2 linked regions of the Drosophila melanogaster genome follow. The gene in region 2 interacts genetically with the main gene of each other region. Each region holds a gene or a part of one and is shown on either strand. Other genes may lie near its edges.

Region 1 (7,711 bases), on a different chromosome or scaffold from region 2:
ATATGTTAAGTCTCTGTATTGGGGTAGACAGGTATACCCTAAGATTTGCCTTAGTGGTGTTGGTCACCCAAAATAACATTCTGATTACTGTGAGATAAGGTCGAGCAAGCCCTTTCCAATATGTTGCAGCCTTTCGTTAAATAACAAGCTTTTGGCAGCACTTTAAATAATGAATTATTTAATTTTAAAAACAAAAATTGAAGAGCTTTAAAAAATCTTTCCGTTAAGATCGCAGTACAACTGCCTTATCGATTCTTCTCGATATGAAGTGGTGGCCGTCTCTTGGCGTAGTCACGAATCGGTTACGCAGATGTGTAATCTAGATAAATATGGAATTAATACAAAAAAATTAAGAACAAGATAGAATTTTACATACGAGTTCCCCGACTATCAGATAACGGTTACTCAGCTGGTGTGAATGCAAAAGCGAAATTTAATAATTTTTCTGGGATATCGATAGAAAAAAATGAGTAAAAATTGTTTAAAAATGTGGGCGTTACTGTTTTGGGAGTTTTTAAGGTGAAAGGAGTGGCGTGTCCACAGTGCTTTTGGTATACATATAAAAATTGCCAAGACAAACAATAAAACGAAGAAAAATCTAAACATTTTTCAAAAGTGCGTGGCAGTTTTTGGCTTTAGGGCGTTTGAGTGGGCGTGGCAGAAAGTTTTTTTTGGCAAATCGATAGGAATTTCCAAGACTAATAAAAATATCAACAGTTTTCAAAAGTGTAGGCGTAGCAATTTAGTGCGGTTTTAGGGCGTGGCAAAAAGTTATGGAATTATGAAGAAATAATTTTCAAAATTTCTAAAATGTTAGCGTAGCAGTTATGGGCGGTTTTACGGCGTTAGAGTAGACGTGGCAAAAAGTTTTTTTGCAAATTGATAAAAAATGAAATGTAAAAAAATATCAAGACTTTTTTAAAAGTGTGGGAGTGGCCGTTTTTTGCGGCTTGTGGGCGTGGCAGCATGGGCCAACAAACTTGCGCTGCATCGTTGTCTCTAGAATTTGTATGCTGAATCTCATACGAACAGACGGGCATGGCTAGATCGACTCGGCAATTGATCCTGATCAAGAATATATATACTTTGTATGTTCGGAAACGCTTCCTTCTGCCTGTTACATACTTTTTAACGAATCTAGTATACCCTTATTATACCCGTTATTGCTTGTTGTTGTGCTCCCATTTTGTGTGAAACATCTAATAGAAAGTAAAGTAACAACGGTGGCCCTGTGACAACTGTTTTGATATATGAGAACAGTACAATTACGAACTAGGAAAAACACACTGCGAAAAGAGGAAGTAGTGAAACAGGCGACAAACCCAGTAAGAAATACACCCAATCTTAAAATAAGTACAGAATTATAATTTGTCTCATTAATATTTGCGTTGCCCAGTGTTTATCGTTCCATAGCCATCTTCCGTTGTTTCTTTCAATAAAATAATCGATAGCTGCCCTGTTTTGTACATTTTGTATTTTAACCTCAATTTACGATATATACGAGCAATTCAATCAAAAAAGAGTAATTGAACAATCCCTTGGTAATGCGCATTAAAAATCATTTTTTATTAGCAGTTACCAATCGAGAAGCCAAAATGACTGAGAGCATTGTGTGTCACAAGTGCCAGGAGGCCATCACCAAGCGTATGATCACCGCCCTGGGCAAGACGTGGCACCCGGAGCACTTCCTGTGCCACCACTGCGATGAGCAGATCCTGGATGCCACCTTCAATGTTCAGAGCGGAGAACCAGTGTGCAACAAGTGCTTCGTGGAGCGGTACACCTACACCTGTGCCGGCTGCAAGAAGCCGATCCTTGAAAAAACCATCTGCGCCATGGGGGAGAGGTGGCACGAAGCTTGCTTTTGCTGCGGCGGTGCCTGCAAGAAGCCGCTCGCCAGTCAAACGTTCTATGAGCGCGACGGCAAGCCCTATTGCAAACAGGATTACGAGAACCTCTTTGCTGCCAGGTGCGCCAAGTGCGAGAAGCCTATAACGGACTCAGCGGTGCTCGCCATGAACGTGAAGTGGCATCGCAATTGCTTCCAGTGCAACAAATGCGAGAATCCTATAACCTCGCAGACTTTTACCATCGACGGGGACAAGCCCGTGTGCCCCGCCTGCAATTGCTAACATCGTCCCGGACCCATGATCTTACTCCAAATTGTTTAGTTCCTTTCTTACACTAATGTTGAAATAGTTCCCGATGCTTATGAAGCCTAGAGGCATGAAAGAAATCAGACCCACACATTTGACCACACTTAACATTTCGCACACGCACACACTAAATAAAAATAAATATGTAAAGTCTCTGTATTGGGGTGGCCAGGTAAACCCTTTTATCGTTAAGATTTGCCTAAGACCAACAACACCCACAACAACATACTGATTACTGCGAGATAAACTAGAACGCAAGCCCTTTCCCAATTTTGAGTAAATATTTTCCCCAAACCCAGTGAAAAGAAGCTGTCGAGGAAAGTGTGCTTGATATGAGATCATGTTTCCAAGGGTAAATATGCTACCCAGCCTTGGAACATGCACATCTGATTATCTCATAAACGCCATTAGTCGGTGGAATTATGTTGTTTGGAGGAGGGGTATCCCAGCAGTGCAGCGGAAAATGGAAAACTCTGCGAGGGTGTGCTGACGTGCCGTCATCGTGGAAAATTCATACATTCGGGTAAAATACACGAAGCGGCTTCGTTAGTCAAGTTTTCGTTACGATTTTGTGGGCTCTGCGGCTTTGGAGTTGCCGGCTGCCGGTTTCAGTTTCATTTTTCAAACGGAGCTCGTGCAAAGCGGTTCGGTTGGTCTTTAAGCGATTTTCCACAAACCAAAAAGTATTTCCGCGGAAAAGCTGCCCGAAAACGGGAAAAGAGAGGTGGCTAATTAATTACACTGTTGAAACTGTCCCATAAATAATTGCCGTTTGAGTCGAACAATTAAGGAGTCTGTAAAAAGCTGCAGCAGCTGCAAGCCTCCATAAATCGTGTCTATCAAAATCAAGATCGTGGTTTACGTATGTTGCGAACTTTGAAATTTATTTGCGATCTATGGCCAGATTTTCCAGATTCGGATTTTCCAAATGCAGCCAATATCCTCACGTCTAGTGGCACTGACAACTCAATACAGTATATCGTGTAGATTGGCATCAGATAATTGTGATTTAGCCGTGCGTGTTGAAGTGGAATTAGTTTACTCAATTTGCAACTTCAAGTAATTGCAGTTTATTGAGGAAAATATTTTAATATATTAAAGCTGAAGTGGCGGGATAACAGATTAGCTATAAATATATATATATATACATATATGTATGTATGCAAAGACACATCTTTGATAGTAAAACACTAAGTGTGGGTGGTCTGAGCGTTTATTCTAATTGATAATTATTTTAATTAATACAAAAGATATCTAATCTTGTACTTCTACATTTTAAATGCCTGTTAAGGTCTTTCGTGCTTGCGTTTGCTCAGGTGGAGGCAGAGCTTATAAAAATGTTAATCTTACAAATTATAAAATGTGGGATTAATTGGAAAATGTTTTATTTTGATTACCTAGGTGACAGAAAATTAATTGTTAGCATATGCAAATGTCAGTCGCGATGTGAATTTGCATTTTACGAATGTGTCTACAAGCGATCAGGTCTAAAAACTCAATCAATGGGATCAATTAGGGTTTGTAATACTTGCTATTGCTGACTGTGTTGGATCAAAAAGAACATCACGCACACCTTTAAAGCGGCTGTCATTCCAGAACCTTTTTTCGTGGAAATGGAATCCAAGCCAGGCTCTAAGCTTCCAGGCCAAATTTATTGACGCTACTCTGGCATTCTTTTTCAATTCGTAGATGTCTGTGAACGAAAAAATAACTTACAAGCCGATGGCACTGGAAAAGGTCCAAGCCTAAGTCAATAATATCATCGAATTATTCTATTTGGTTTTTATTCACAGCTCATTATACCAATACTCATATATAAAATACCATTTAAAGTTAGGGGAAAGATTGAAAAAGTAGCAATAATTCGATGAAACCAAATGAAGCAACATTTTTTTTTATTGTGTAAGCCATAATATTTTTAAACACGACACATTAAAAAATTTTTTTTTACATTTCTGTATTCATTAAATCTTTGCAATGCAAAATGTTCTTCATTATGATAAAGCAATGCAAAAGGCAAACATTTGATTAAAATTAAGCTCCCAGTACGCATTCTTAGAATCTTTTTTTGTCGCAGTGCAGTTAAAAAACAGTCGGGGCAGTCACTGGCACTGAAGAACCTCCACAGTCGTACTTTGACTCTTGCGGTCGTCGGATGTTTGTAAGTTTGCCGGCTTCGCATAAGTTTTATATGGAAATTGCCATTTTTGGCGTTTCGAGCAACAGGACGGCTATAGACGCACCTTAAAAGTCCACCCGGATCGGCTGGGTCGCGCTTAACCTTTAATGGGGAAACGCCATGGCCCGAGCCTTTGAGAGCCCCTCCAGTTGGCAACCGGTTGGCTTCCAGTGAATGTCTCTGAGTTTCTGTGTGTGTCTGCTGCAAAAGCCTCTTTGTGTCAAGTCGTATGTTATTAGCATCCGCCAACTGAGCTCCCAGTGTGTCAAAAGATTTGAACTTTAAAGTGCTCAGGTGCTGAAGAGGCCCACAGACGAAAAGTAGACAGCAGACACTTGGACTGCCAGTCAGTCAGTCAGTCAGTCAGTTAGTCGGTCTCTCGGTCTTTGAATACACTGCGAATAAAACTGTGATAATCGCACATTTGGCCATGCTATCGGAAACTATCTTTAGAAAATGTGCTTTATTTCAAGCAAATGTGATTGCAATGATTAAGAAAAACGGATAGAAGAGTGTTGTACTAAGTACCAAAATACCGAAATTACTTAAAGCAAATCCCATTTACCAATAAATTGAAATGATCCAAATTCAATGAGTTTCAGCTTCAGTTTACACAGTTTTTCCCATTCGACTTTTCGGCCAGTGTTTGTGAATTGCTTATCACGTTGTTTGACTTTGAGCTCGTTTGAATTATGCGTGCTATCTTCCATTGCCATTCCCCTGGCCAGCGGGTAGTTCACGCCGCAATTGTCTCTTTCGGGTTCTTTTTATCACACCTGCCGTGCACCGCTGGATACCACACATATGCCGTCCATCCATCCGCACTGGAGCGATGTGGAGTGGAGTACCTAGAGTACTCTGTGGGGTATGGAGTAGGTAGAGTACTCGCACGTCCACAAACTTTTTTTGCCTTTTCCTTGACACGTCCTCGTTGAGCGTTGCTTGGTACTTGCATAGAATTAGTTATCGTAACTAGTTCTATTGTTTTTCGTATTCAAAATTCATCAGGGTTTTCGGCAGTTGGTTAGGAAGTTTAGAAATCTTAATAAATTAGCATTACCACTGTATACAAAACTCTGGTAATTTTAAGCCCGAAACTGTCTCAAAAACCATTCAACTTTTTGACTTAAGGCAGCCAGAGCAAATTGTGAAGTAAACCCACATTGTTTGCCCAAATAATTTAATTAAATTATTCCACTTAAAAACCGATTGAGCAAACTGAAAGCCATTCGACATGGAGTGAATCGGCAAAAAGAACAATTAATAATGATAAGAGCAACAAATAGCACGCACCCGAGGCGCTCGACTTTTAAAATTTAGAATTAGAAAAATATAAAACAAAAAACAGAAAGCAACGCCAATAAGCCTCTCACCTGGCGCTGGCCAAAAATAGCAACCGAAGACCATTTAATAACAATATCAATATGCGAAACAAATTCAAAGCTCATTTTGAATTGCAATAATCAGAATTCGTAGACCGCGCGGCTCTTGAGAATTTTGTGCGGAATTAATTGAGTGATAAATTAGATTGCTTAAATGACAAACGGGAGCGTGGGCGCCGCTATCAATAAAAATAATTAGCAGTCATACCCTTTCAGTGGGTACATTGATGTTTACGAAAACTCATTTTGAAATAAAAAAAATTAATTTTCCAAATTGTTATTTTGGTAAACCTAAACCTCTGTTACTTGTTTTCAAAAGCTTACGTTCTGCACCAAAAACGAAAAACTATTAATGTTCGTGGTCTAAATATCCGCAAAACTCATTGTTATTTTTTCATATTTTCTGCTCTGGTTTTCGCACATTAATTGATAAATGCTACTTATCAATTTGTGGCAAAAGTAATTAAGCTTGTGACGGAATCGAACGTGGCTAATTGGATACAGCATTGGAAAAGAATACCATCACAGAGAAAAAAAACACGGAACATAAAAAATCAAACAAATAGCGACAATTTGTAGAGAAAACCCATTAAAAGCGACGTTCACTATGTGTAAATATGTAATGTGCGTCTACGAGTGAGCGAAAATTGCCGACTGATAACTGACTTTTTGAAAAAGTAACCACGATGGAGTCAACTACTATTGTTTTTGTGACTCTGCTCACAATTATAACCCAACGTAAACACTGTGCGGGTAAGTGAGCTACAAACAATTTAAGGATGGCAAAAATGTTAAGCTTTATTACTCAATGTGGTCGATTGGGTGATTTATCGATCCATTTCAATTTGAATTTAGGCAGCTTGGGAAACAAGAATAGTCGAAACAATTAACACCTTTTATAACTGACTACTGTGACAAGGCTTTGCCAAAATGGATTTTTTAACTTGAAACTAGTTAAATGTTTTATTAATTGGGTATTGGAGTCGTCGGTCAATGTATATCAACTTATATGTAGTAAAGCACGTTAACCCCTTTTTCTCCTGTTTCTGTGGCAAATGGGAATCTCGCAAAAGGCAATTACCCTCATTTCCATAGAGTGCCAGTGAACGAATCTCCCAGATAACCTTAACACCAATATATGCACAGTGGGAATGCAACCGAAGATATGATGTTTCCATTAGAGGTGTAATAAAGTGCAATCTCCTTTTATGACTTTTTTAGGTTGTTGTGCTCAAAGACGCACTGCTTAGCTCCTAATTATAGGCCCATTGCGTTCCACGCGACCAGCAAGGCTCTTATTTTTATTCGCCTGGCACAGGTGTGAACTGACGTCTTGACAAGTTGGTAAGCGATATGTGGGCCCGGCCTTTCGCTTTTGACTTTGCAACCAACTGACTGACGCTGATGGACTGGTCTACCGACCAACTCCCTGGGGCCGCTCCATCAATGCCTCAAACTGGGGGGAAAAAAAAACTTTACACATTGGAAACATGTAAATTTCAATTTCCGCATAGTAAACTCAGTTCGTCCTTTGTTGAATATTAACTTTAAATATTACTTACTTTCTATTTTTACAAATGTTTTCTAAATATCATATAACATTATCATGTCATATATTTTCTTTACAATTTTTTACCTTTTTACTGGGTTTGATTTGATTTCTATGCTTGAACGAGAAATTAAAAACAAAACAGTAAAGTATGTTAATTTTTCTTGTGGAATAATTGTATTTATTAGTCTAGCGGTTGTATAAATATATTGCAATATATTAAGACCAATTGTATTTTTGTTAGTGCATGACGTGCCAGACAAGTACACGCCCAAAAAATTAATTCATCACGCTGCAAAGTCACATTTGATATTTTTTGGGGGATGACTACCACTGCGATCCATTCCAAGACAGCTGGCACTGAAAAATTCCCCTATAGGCCCAGCCAAGTTGAATCTACCGCATATGAATCGCCGGTCAATCAGTCACTCGGGTTAAAGGTGTC
Region 2 (7,917 bases):
CGCACTGGAGGGCAGCAGGGTCTGTACAACCGCCCGCTGGCCATCGGCATTGCGATAAAGAAAGCACTCGAAACAGTAGAGTACGGCGCAACGCAGTGCCAGCAGTTGTTTCTCATTGATCATGGACATAAGAAGGACCACGATGGCAGGTCTGGGTGGACTGCTCGGAGCCATAACTCTTCCCAATTCATCCTGGTTGTCCCGATCGCCGCGCACCACTTCGGCCACTGCATTGATGGTTTCCGTGAGTATATCCGCAGGGACACCACTGCTCATCAGAATCTCGCAAAGAGCATGGAGCAGTCGAGACTTTTGCATGACCCGCTGGCAGGCGGCCACCACCTGCTGTTGATTACTGGGCGTGACCAGTGCCCGCACCACCTGCAGCAGACAATGGAAGTTTGAGACCTTCTGTGGCGACCAGCCAACCTCTTCCGCATCCTGTGAGAGCTCAAACATTGGCGACAATCGCTGGATATAGCTGCCCTCCTTAAAGAACTGCTGATTACTGGAGTTGTTCTTGAGAAGATTCAATAGCAGAATTAGGCAATCCTCCACAACAATTCCGCCATCCGAACAGCCCTCCTCACGGACAATTTCAAAAAGGCGGTCAAAGGCATTCTCAAAGGCCACAATCTTTTGGATGTTTGAGTTGCCCTTGGTCAGTTCGATAAGCAGCAGAAGGACATCGTTGCGAATCACTTCGCGGCTGTCCGTCAGCAGATCCATCAGCTTGGAAACGCCCATCGGACTGACCAGAATCAAATCCTGCAGCTCCCGCGTCTTGTTCGAAATGAGGGACGTAATCAGTTGGATGGCAGCGCGACGCACTCGAAAATCGTATTCGTCCAGATAGCCCATTACCAGGGTTACATGCTCCGGTGTCTTGATGAACATCTCCGTGAACTGCTCGCCCACATTCACCGAAACGGTGGGATTATCAGCCTCCTCGTCGAACTCCTCGCTAGTAACCACGTTGCACAGTGTGTCCAGCGCATAGCTGATGATCTCTGCATCCTGTCCGTCGTTCTGGAGCACCTGGACCAGCGGAGGCATGCCCTGTGCGCCCACCTCGATGCGGTACTTGCGGGACAGGGCTTTTAGCGCTCGGCAGGCATCCCGTCGATCCTCCAGGAGCGTTGAGGAGTAGACACGGTCCACCAGCTTCTCCACCGTCTCGGCGGCACTCGGCTGCTGACCCGGCTCCGTGCTGCCCAGCACCGTTTTGATGCCACTCTTCAGGAACTCCATGCGAGTGTGTGTTTACGGTCTATTCTGGGTTTTTTCGCATTCAACAAGACACGTCAATTCATGAAAACAATTGACGGGCGGCTTAGCGATGGCTAAAGTCCGATAGACGCCCACTTATCGATAAGCGGCTTGTCTTTAAATATATTAAATATATTTTTAGAATTACAATTTACCATATTTGACCATGTTTGTGTAATTACCTATATTTACACTTTTTTGATAATCTAAAACTTTTTTTTGAATTACATAAAATATTGCTACTTTCTAGCTGACGTCGGGACTTAAGCTGAGTGGCATCCCTGTCGGCGATAGTCTTACTGCCAAAATTTTATTAAACTAAAAACGACTCGACAGCCCTGGTGCTATCGATGCTATAAGTAAGTTGAAAACAAAACTAATTTAGCAAATTTGTGTTTAAAACTAAACGAGAGAATCCCAAAAAATACAATATAAAGCGTTCCACACACGCGGCGTAAGAAGTTCTCAAAAATATCAACACAGTTATCACGACGCTGGGAGAAATCACTCGTTTTTATTACGTAATGCGGCAAAATGTCAACCCATAACATAACAATCCCCACATCAATTTGTGTAAATCATATGTAAATCTCGCCATCTCCTGTGCTTGTCTTGCAGACCTATGGGCAGTGGGATTGTGGTTCAATTGGCTCGAAAGTACGGCGCAGTGATATTCTTTCCCACTGTTGCAGTCGGATCGATTTACGCAGATTGGTCGCACACCCGCCAGTGGAAACGCCAGCAGCTCCAGTTGGCACACCGAGCCCAGCTGAAGGATCAGCGCTAAGAGGATACACAAATATACACCATGGTCTTGGGACTGGATAAGCGAGCACTGTGGGGCGCGTTGCCCCTGCTGGGATTTGCCATTGGCCACTTCCTGGACAAGAAGGAAACGGAACGTATGACCATGTTCCGGGACAAGAGTGCCCTATACGGCCGTCCCGCCGGCAGCGAGGGTAAGGCGCCATCCTGGTAGGCCTGCCCAACATCGCCATCCCAAAATATTATTTTTTTTCCCCCAATTCACTGTTATTCAATAAACCGGAGAAATGTGAAATACGCCTGTCGTCTAGTTTACCTGCATGGCCAGCGGACGAGATTTGCGGTCGGGAACGTGATTTATTTGTGAAGGATTGCGTACCATTGTTTGTTTTACTCAGGAAAAACATAAAAACCTCAACACACGTCTAACGATAAGCCGAAAACCAATGAAAAATCCAAGGAGATAACTCGTTTTTCGAAGGATTTTACCTGGGCATCGCTGCACGATATGCGAGTTCTGCTTAGTTCGGATCAGGGGCGTAGGCTGGATATTTTAGAAGAGCATTGGTGTATTCTACCAAAACTCTTATTATTTATTGTAGAACTTCTTGAGCATGTCACATAAATCACTTGAAATGTGGTAACCGAGAGTAGTCTTTTTAAATGAGTTTCGTTAAATGGCATTGAATTATCTAATACATGTGAATCGAGATTTTTAAGAATTAATAGAAAAAAAAAACTTTTATAAGCATGAGCCCCCTAAAAACTTTCATTTGCACGACCATGCCTATATGTACTATGTAACTGCTTCCAGTAAAAACCGTTAGACAGAATGGATAATCGCTCACTTCAAATATGAAATATGAAATCCGATAAGGACATTTCCACTTTAACAAACAAGGCAGCAAATTGAAATGCCAATGGAACAAAACTAATTTATTTTTATGGCTCAGGGCTAGGGGTTTGTACTCGGTTTTGGATTCCGGTTTAAGATCGGTTTTGGGCTCGAGTTCCAAAATTGAGCGTGATGAATCGCTGGAATTGTGTTCTTGGGCGTGCTGCCCCTCTCTAGACCATTGTTTCCAATGGTCAGTAGTTTGTACACAGGCGCAGTGGGATCAAATGGAACGGATTTTCCAGATTTTCGCCTTTCAAGGGCTTTCTCTCTCTCACAGCGGGGGAGAGCGTGAGCGAGAGGGTGAGATGCCAGAGATTTGCAAGTGGATACCGTTGAACTGTGGTTGGGAGCGAGAGGGTAATAGCACGATCTTTGTTCCTGGAAGGAAACGAGAGATCCAGACGTGCAACAATAACATAACAGTGCTGGTGTCTCTCGGCGGGAAAATAGCCAAATTGGGCATTAGCATGCAGGTGCGAAAGGGTTTTATGGAGAGGTTATTTATATGAAGGTCAGGTTGAAATGACTGCTATCAATTTTAATCGGTAGTTGTCTTGTATATTGGTTTTTAAATAGTTTTGTATTTTAATCCATATTACAATTTCTTAATTTAATGATGAAATAGCTATTTGTTTATGTATGTAATTATATCATTAGATTGCATATTTGCAAAATGTATTTTGTAAAAATTACAAATCTAGCTTGTTTTTAGAATATTCATTCTTCCGCCCTATTTAGCGGGGTAGCGGCACTACTTAAACCTCTCTCTCGCGCACTTGTTGTTGCTCTCTCTCCCGTTCTTGCAGGTAGCAATGAGAATTCCAGAAATCCTGCATCCCAAAAACCAGTCTCAAATCGTGTTTGGGTTTTGTAGCAAGCGGATCATTTGTAATCGGCGGCGGAATACCCAAAATACCCAAAGAGTAAAAAAAAGACTTAAGGCAAAATGAGCGGAGAGGAATCTGCCGGCATGGACTTTTCGCAAAAGACCCTGCAGGATTACGAGGTTTTGGCCGTGATGGGGAATGGATCCTTCGGCACCTGCTACAAGGTGCGCGACAAAAGCACCGGTGAATTGTTCGCCTGGAAGGGAATGAACTACGATGAACTGGACGAGGCCAAGTGCGACGCTTTGGTTTCGGAAATCAGTGTTCTGCGGCAGCTCCAGCATCCTAACATTGTGCAATACTACCATCATCTGGTGAACCGAGAGGCCAAGTCGGTGTACATTGTTATGGAGTGCTGTGCCGGCGGCGATCTCGCCCAGATTGTCCAGCGAGCGAGATCCCAGAGGCAGCGGTTTGAGGAGCCCTACATCTGGCGGGTGCTCTTCCAACTTTGCCGGGCGCTTCAGGTGTGCCACAACAAAATCCCCAACGGAACCATCTTGCATCGCGATATCAAGCCAGCAAATATTTTCCTGGATGCGGCCGGGAATGCCAAACTGGGAGATTTCGGTCTGGCCAGAATGCTGCGACGAGATCAGAGCTTTGCCGCCTCCTTTGTGGGCACTCCGCACTACATGAGTCCGGAGTTGGTGAAGGGCAGGAAATACGATCGGAAGAGCGATGTCTGGGCCGTTGGTTGTTTGGTATACGAGATGTGTGCCCTAAGACCGCCGTTTCGCGGCAGAGCCTTTGACCAGTTGTCCGAGAAGATCGCCCAGGGTGAGTTCAGTCGGATTCCGGCAATCTATAGTACTGATCTGCAGGAGATCATCGCCTTCATGCTGGCAGTGGATCATGAACAGCGTCCTGGCATCGAGGTTATCATTCGGCATCCTCTGGTGGTGCGTAATATTAGCGAGTTGGATGGCAAGTTCCCAATTCTAGTTGATTCTGGAGAGGATTTCTACACACTGCCTTCGGGTGCCAGGCTTTTCGAGGACGAAGAGGAAGATGGAGTTCATCCAGAGCTATCGAGCACCATGTTTACGGAACAGTACAGCTTCAATGAAGGCTATGGGCAAAGGAGACTCAGCGTTACTGGTGTGTTTACTCCAGATTTGCGAAGTGAACTCTTCTACTCCGCCAAGCGCAAAATCTTTCCTGCCAAGAAACTACAGCTGTCGGATCCCTCTCTTTATGAAAGTATAAGGAGAGAGGAGCGAGCGGAGGAGAGGCAGGTGGAACTGGCGGAAGAGCGGCGCCGTAAAAAGGATCAGGAGCAGCAGAAAAGGGATCAGGAGCTTCTAAAGGAGGCCCCTAGCAGTCCTCGTGCTCTTACCCAAAACATATTCGATGAAGTACTAAAGACCCGTCTCCACGCCATTCGTGCCCAAGAATCCCTGTTGCAGCAGAAGCTCGAAGAGCTGCAGACCCGGGAGCAGGAGTTACAGCTGGCCGAACAGCGCGTGCAAACGCTGGAGCGGCAGATGCAGGAAAAACTTCTTCAGCAGGAGAAACACACTTGTAGTTGCAGACAGCCGATAGCTCCGCCCATTCCTCCTAGGAAGCCAGCGAAATCGCACCATGATGACACCTACTGCACTATCGAACTCAACGAGACGTCGCCCACGGTGGCTAAACTCAATTTAGCCACACTTCCGGCACCAAAATCGCTAAATACTCTGCGTAAGGTTACCTTCAAGTCGCCCCAAAAGTTTGTTACCTATGGTATCGAGAATATGCCCCCACCGGCGGTTAAACCGGCAGTGAATCCTCCGCCCACTGGCGTTCCCATGCAAATGAGCGTATCCAGCAATGATTCCGGTGACAGCCAGGCCTCCTCCACCCGCAGGAAATCTATACTCTCGCTTTTCGGGTTGAGTCGCGGATCCAAGGCGACATCCAAATCCTTGCCATCGGTCAACCAGGTAGCCCAAGCAGCTGCAACTCGCGTGCAGCGACCTCCTTTGGCCGTCAAGCCACCGATCACGCAGGAACAGCCGGCAGAAGTTCCACCAGTGGCCAATCTCTGGACAAAGGAGCAGAAGAAACAAGCCTTCGAGCTGCTGGCGGCCATGAATGCAGCCGAGAGGGAGGCAAGCGGAGGTGGAGTCGTTGGTTCTGGACCCGGAGGAGCACGTCGCCAGCATCTGCGGCAATCGGTGAGGGAACGGAATTCCACGCTGCAGCGGAACCGCATGCGGAGGTCTTTGGTGGTGGCCACTGGCCATCAGAAGCTAACAACGCGCGACCAGATGGTGATCTGATCAAATTGATCAGGAAAGATGTGCAGTCCAGGAGCCATGGCAACCATGGAGACTATGAGCGTTGTGATGTGGAATAAGTTCCGAAATATTTACATTTTTTTTATGCAAAAATTTTTTTGAATGCCATATTTTAAACACGTATTATTAGCATTAAGATTCCAGTTTTTTCAGCTGCCATTCATTGTGCAATTTGCATTAGTCTTAAAATAAATATTGATGAAATGAGATACATTTGTGTTTAAAATTTCAATTTTCGTGTTTTTATTTATTGTTGTTCGCTTGTAACCGTTAAGTTCAATTTACGCATTTTCAGTGCTGGGTATTGTAAAAAGAATATATAAACTTAGCATTGCATCTTTACAGCGTAGTTTTCAAGCAATATACTTAAAACAGCAAAAATTAAAAATTACATTTAAAGAATGCTAACTAATAGAAAATTACCAGTCGCTTTAATCTTATTTAACAGTTGCCAACACTTTTACCGCGCCAGCTGTTGCCTATCGATAGACCGATTACCGGTTTGTTACGCAAGCAACAGGTCTGGCGTGATTTCTGATTGGATTCTTGCCATTTACCTGTGTGATTGCTGTGCTAGTTAATACAAATTAATTAAATTCCAAGATGTCCGCCCGACTGCTGCAGGCCACGCGTCGCTGGAGCGCCCATCGCAACTACAGCTCCAAAATCGCCGAAGTTGTGGTGGTTTCGGCAGCCCGCACACCAATTGGCAGCTTCCAAAGTCAATTGGCCCCACTGACGGCTACCCAATTGGGAGCCCGTGCCATCGAGGCGGCCATCGAAAAGGCCGGAATTGCGAAGACCGATGTCCAGGAGGTGATTATGGGCAATGTGGTATCTGCTGGTCTGGGACAGGCCCCCGCCCGTCAGGCTGCCATCTTCGCCGGACTGCCCACCAATGTATGCTGCACCACGGTGAACAAGGTGTGCTCGTCGGGCATGAAGGCCGTTATGCTGGGCGCCCAATCCCTGATGCTCGGCTATGCTGATGTGGTCGTTGCCGGCGGTATGGAGTCCATGTCGAATGTTCCCTACTATCTGAAGAGGGGAGCCACGCCCTATGGCGGCGTCAATCTCACCGACGGCATTGTTTTCGATGGCCTCTGGGATGTGTACAACAAGTTCCACATGGGCAACTGTGCCGAAAATACGGCCAAAAAACTGGAGATCACACGTCAGCAGCAGGATGACTTTGCCATTGAATCATACAAGAGATCGGCTGCCGCGTGGGCCAACAAGGTGTTCCAGGACGAGATTGCCCCGGTGAAGATTCAGCAGAAGAGGAAGCCGGAGATCGTCATCTCAGAGGATGAGGAGTACAAGCGGGTGAATTTTGACAAGTTTGGACAGTTGGCCACCGTTTTCCAAAGGGAAAATGGCACTGTGACAGCCGGAAATGCATCCACCTTGAATGATGGCGGTGCCGCCGTGGTTTTGATGAGTGCCGAGGCAGCCCAGAAGGCGGGCATTAAGCCGCTGGCCAGGATTGTGGCCTTCCAGGATGCGGAGACCGATCCCATTGACTTCCCCATTGCCCCAGCTCTGGCCATTCCCAAATTACTGAAGCGTGCCGGCGTTCGCAAGGAAGACGTGGCCATGTGGGAGGTCAATGAGGCCTTCTCCCTGGTCGTTTTGGCCAATATCAAGAAACTGGATGTGGATCCAGCCAAGGTTAATGTTCATGGAGGTGCCGTGTCAATTGGCCATCCAATCGGCATGTCCGGAGCCCGTCTGGTGGCCCATCTTTCGCACAGCCTGAAGAAGGGCGAGCTGGGATGCGCCTCCATTTGCAATGGCGGCGGTGGAGCCTCCT

The links.
Region 1: of Nek2 (region 2) and Ret, changing one enhances a phenotype caused by changing the other (phenotypic enhancement), as found in Drosophila melanogaster (one study listed by BioGRID).

Annotation. Positions count from the first base shown.
Region 1 is NT_033779.5:21,193,822-21,201,532, reverse strand, and holds the start of Ret (Ret oncogene), read left to right. Parts: upstream 1-2,770; 5' UTR 2,771-2,880; intron 2,881-6,036; 5' UTR 6,037-6,403; coding exon 6,404-6,470; intron 6,471-7,711. Other genes in the region: CG31624 (uncharacterized protein), read left to right, coding at 1,596-2,132.
Region 2 is NC_004354.4:7,887,461-7,895,377, reverse strand, and holds Nek2 (Nek2), read left to right. Parts: upstream 1-3,731; 5' UTR 3,732-3,878; coding exon 3,879-6,086; 3' UTR 6,087-6,312; downstream 6,313-7,917. Other genes in the region: p115, read right to left, coding at 1-1,251; CG45089 (uncharacterized protein), read left to right, coding at 1,892-2,056; ND-MNLL (NADH dehydrogenase (ubiquinone) MNLL subunit), read left to right, coding at 2,078-2,248; Acat1 (Acetyl-CoA acetyltransferase 1), read left to right, coding at 6,708-7,917.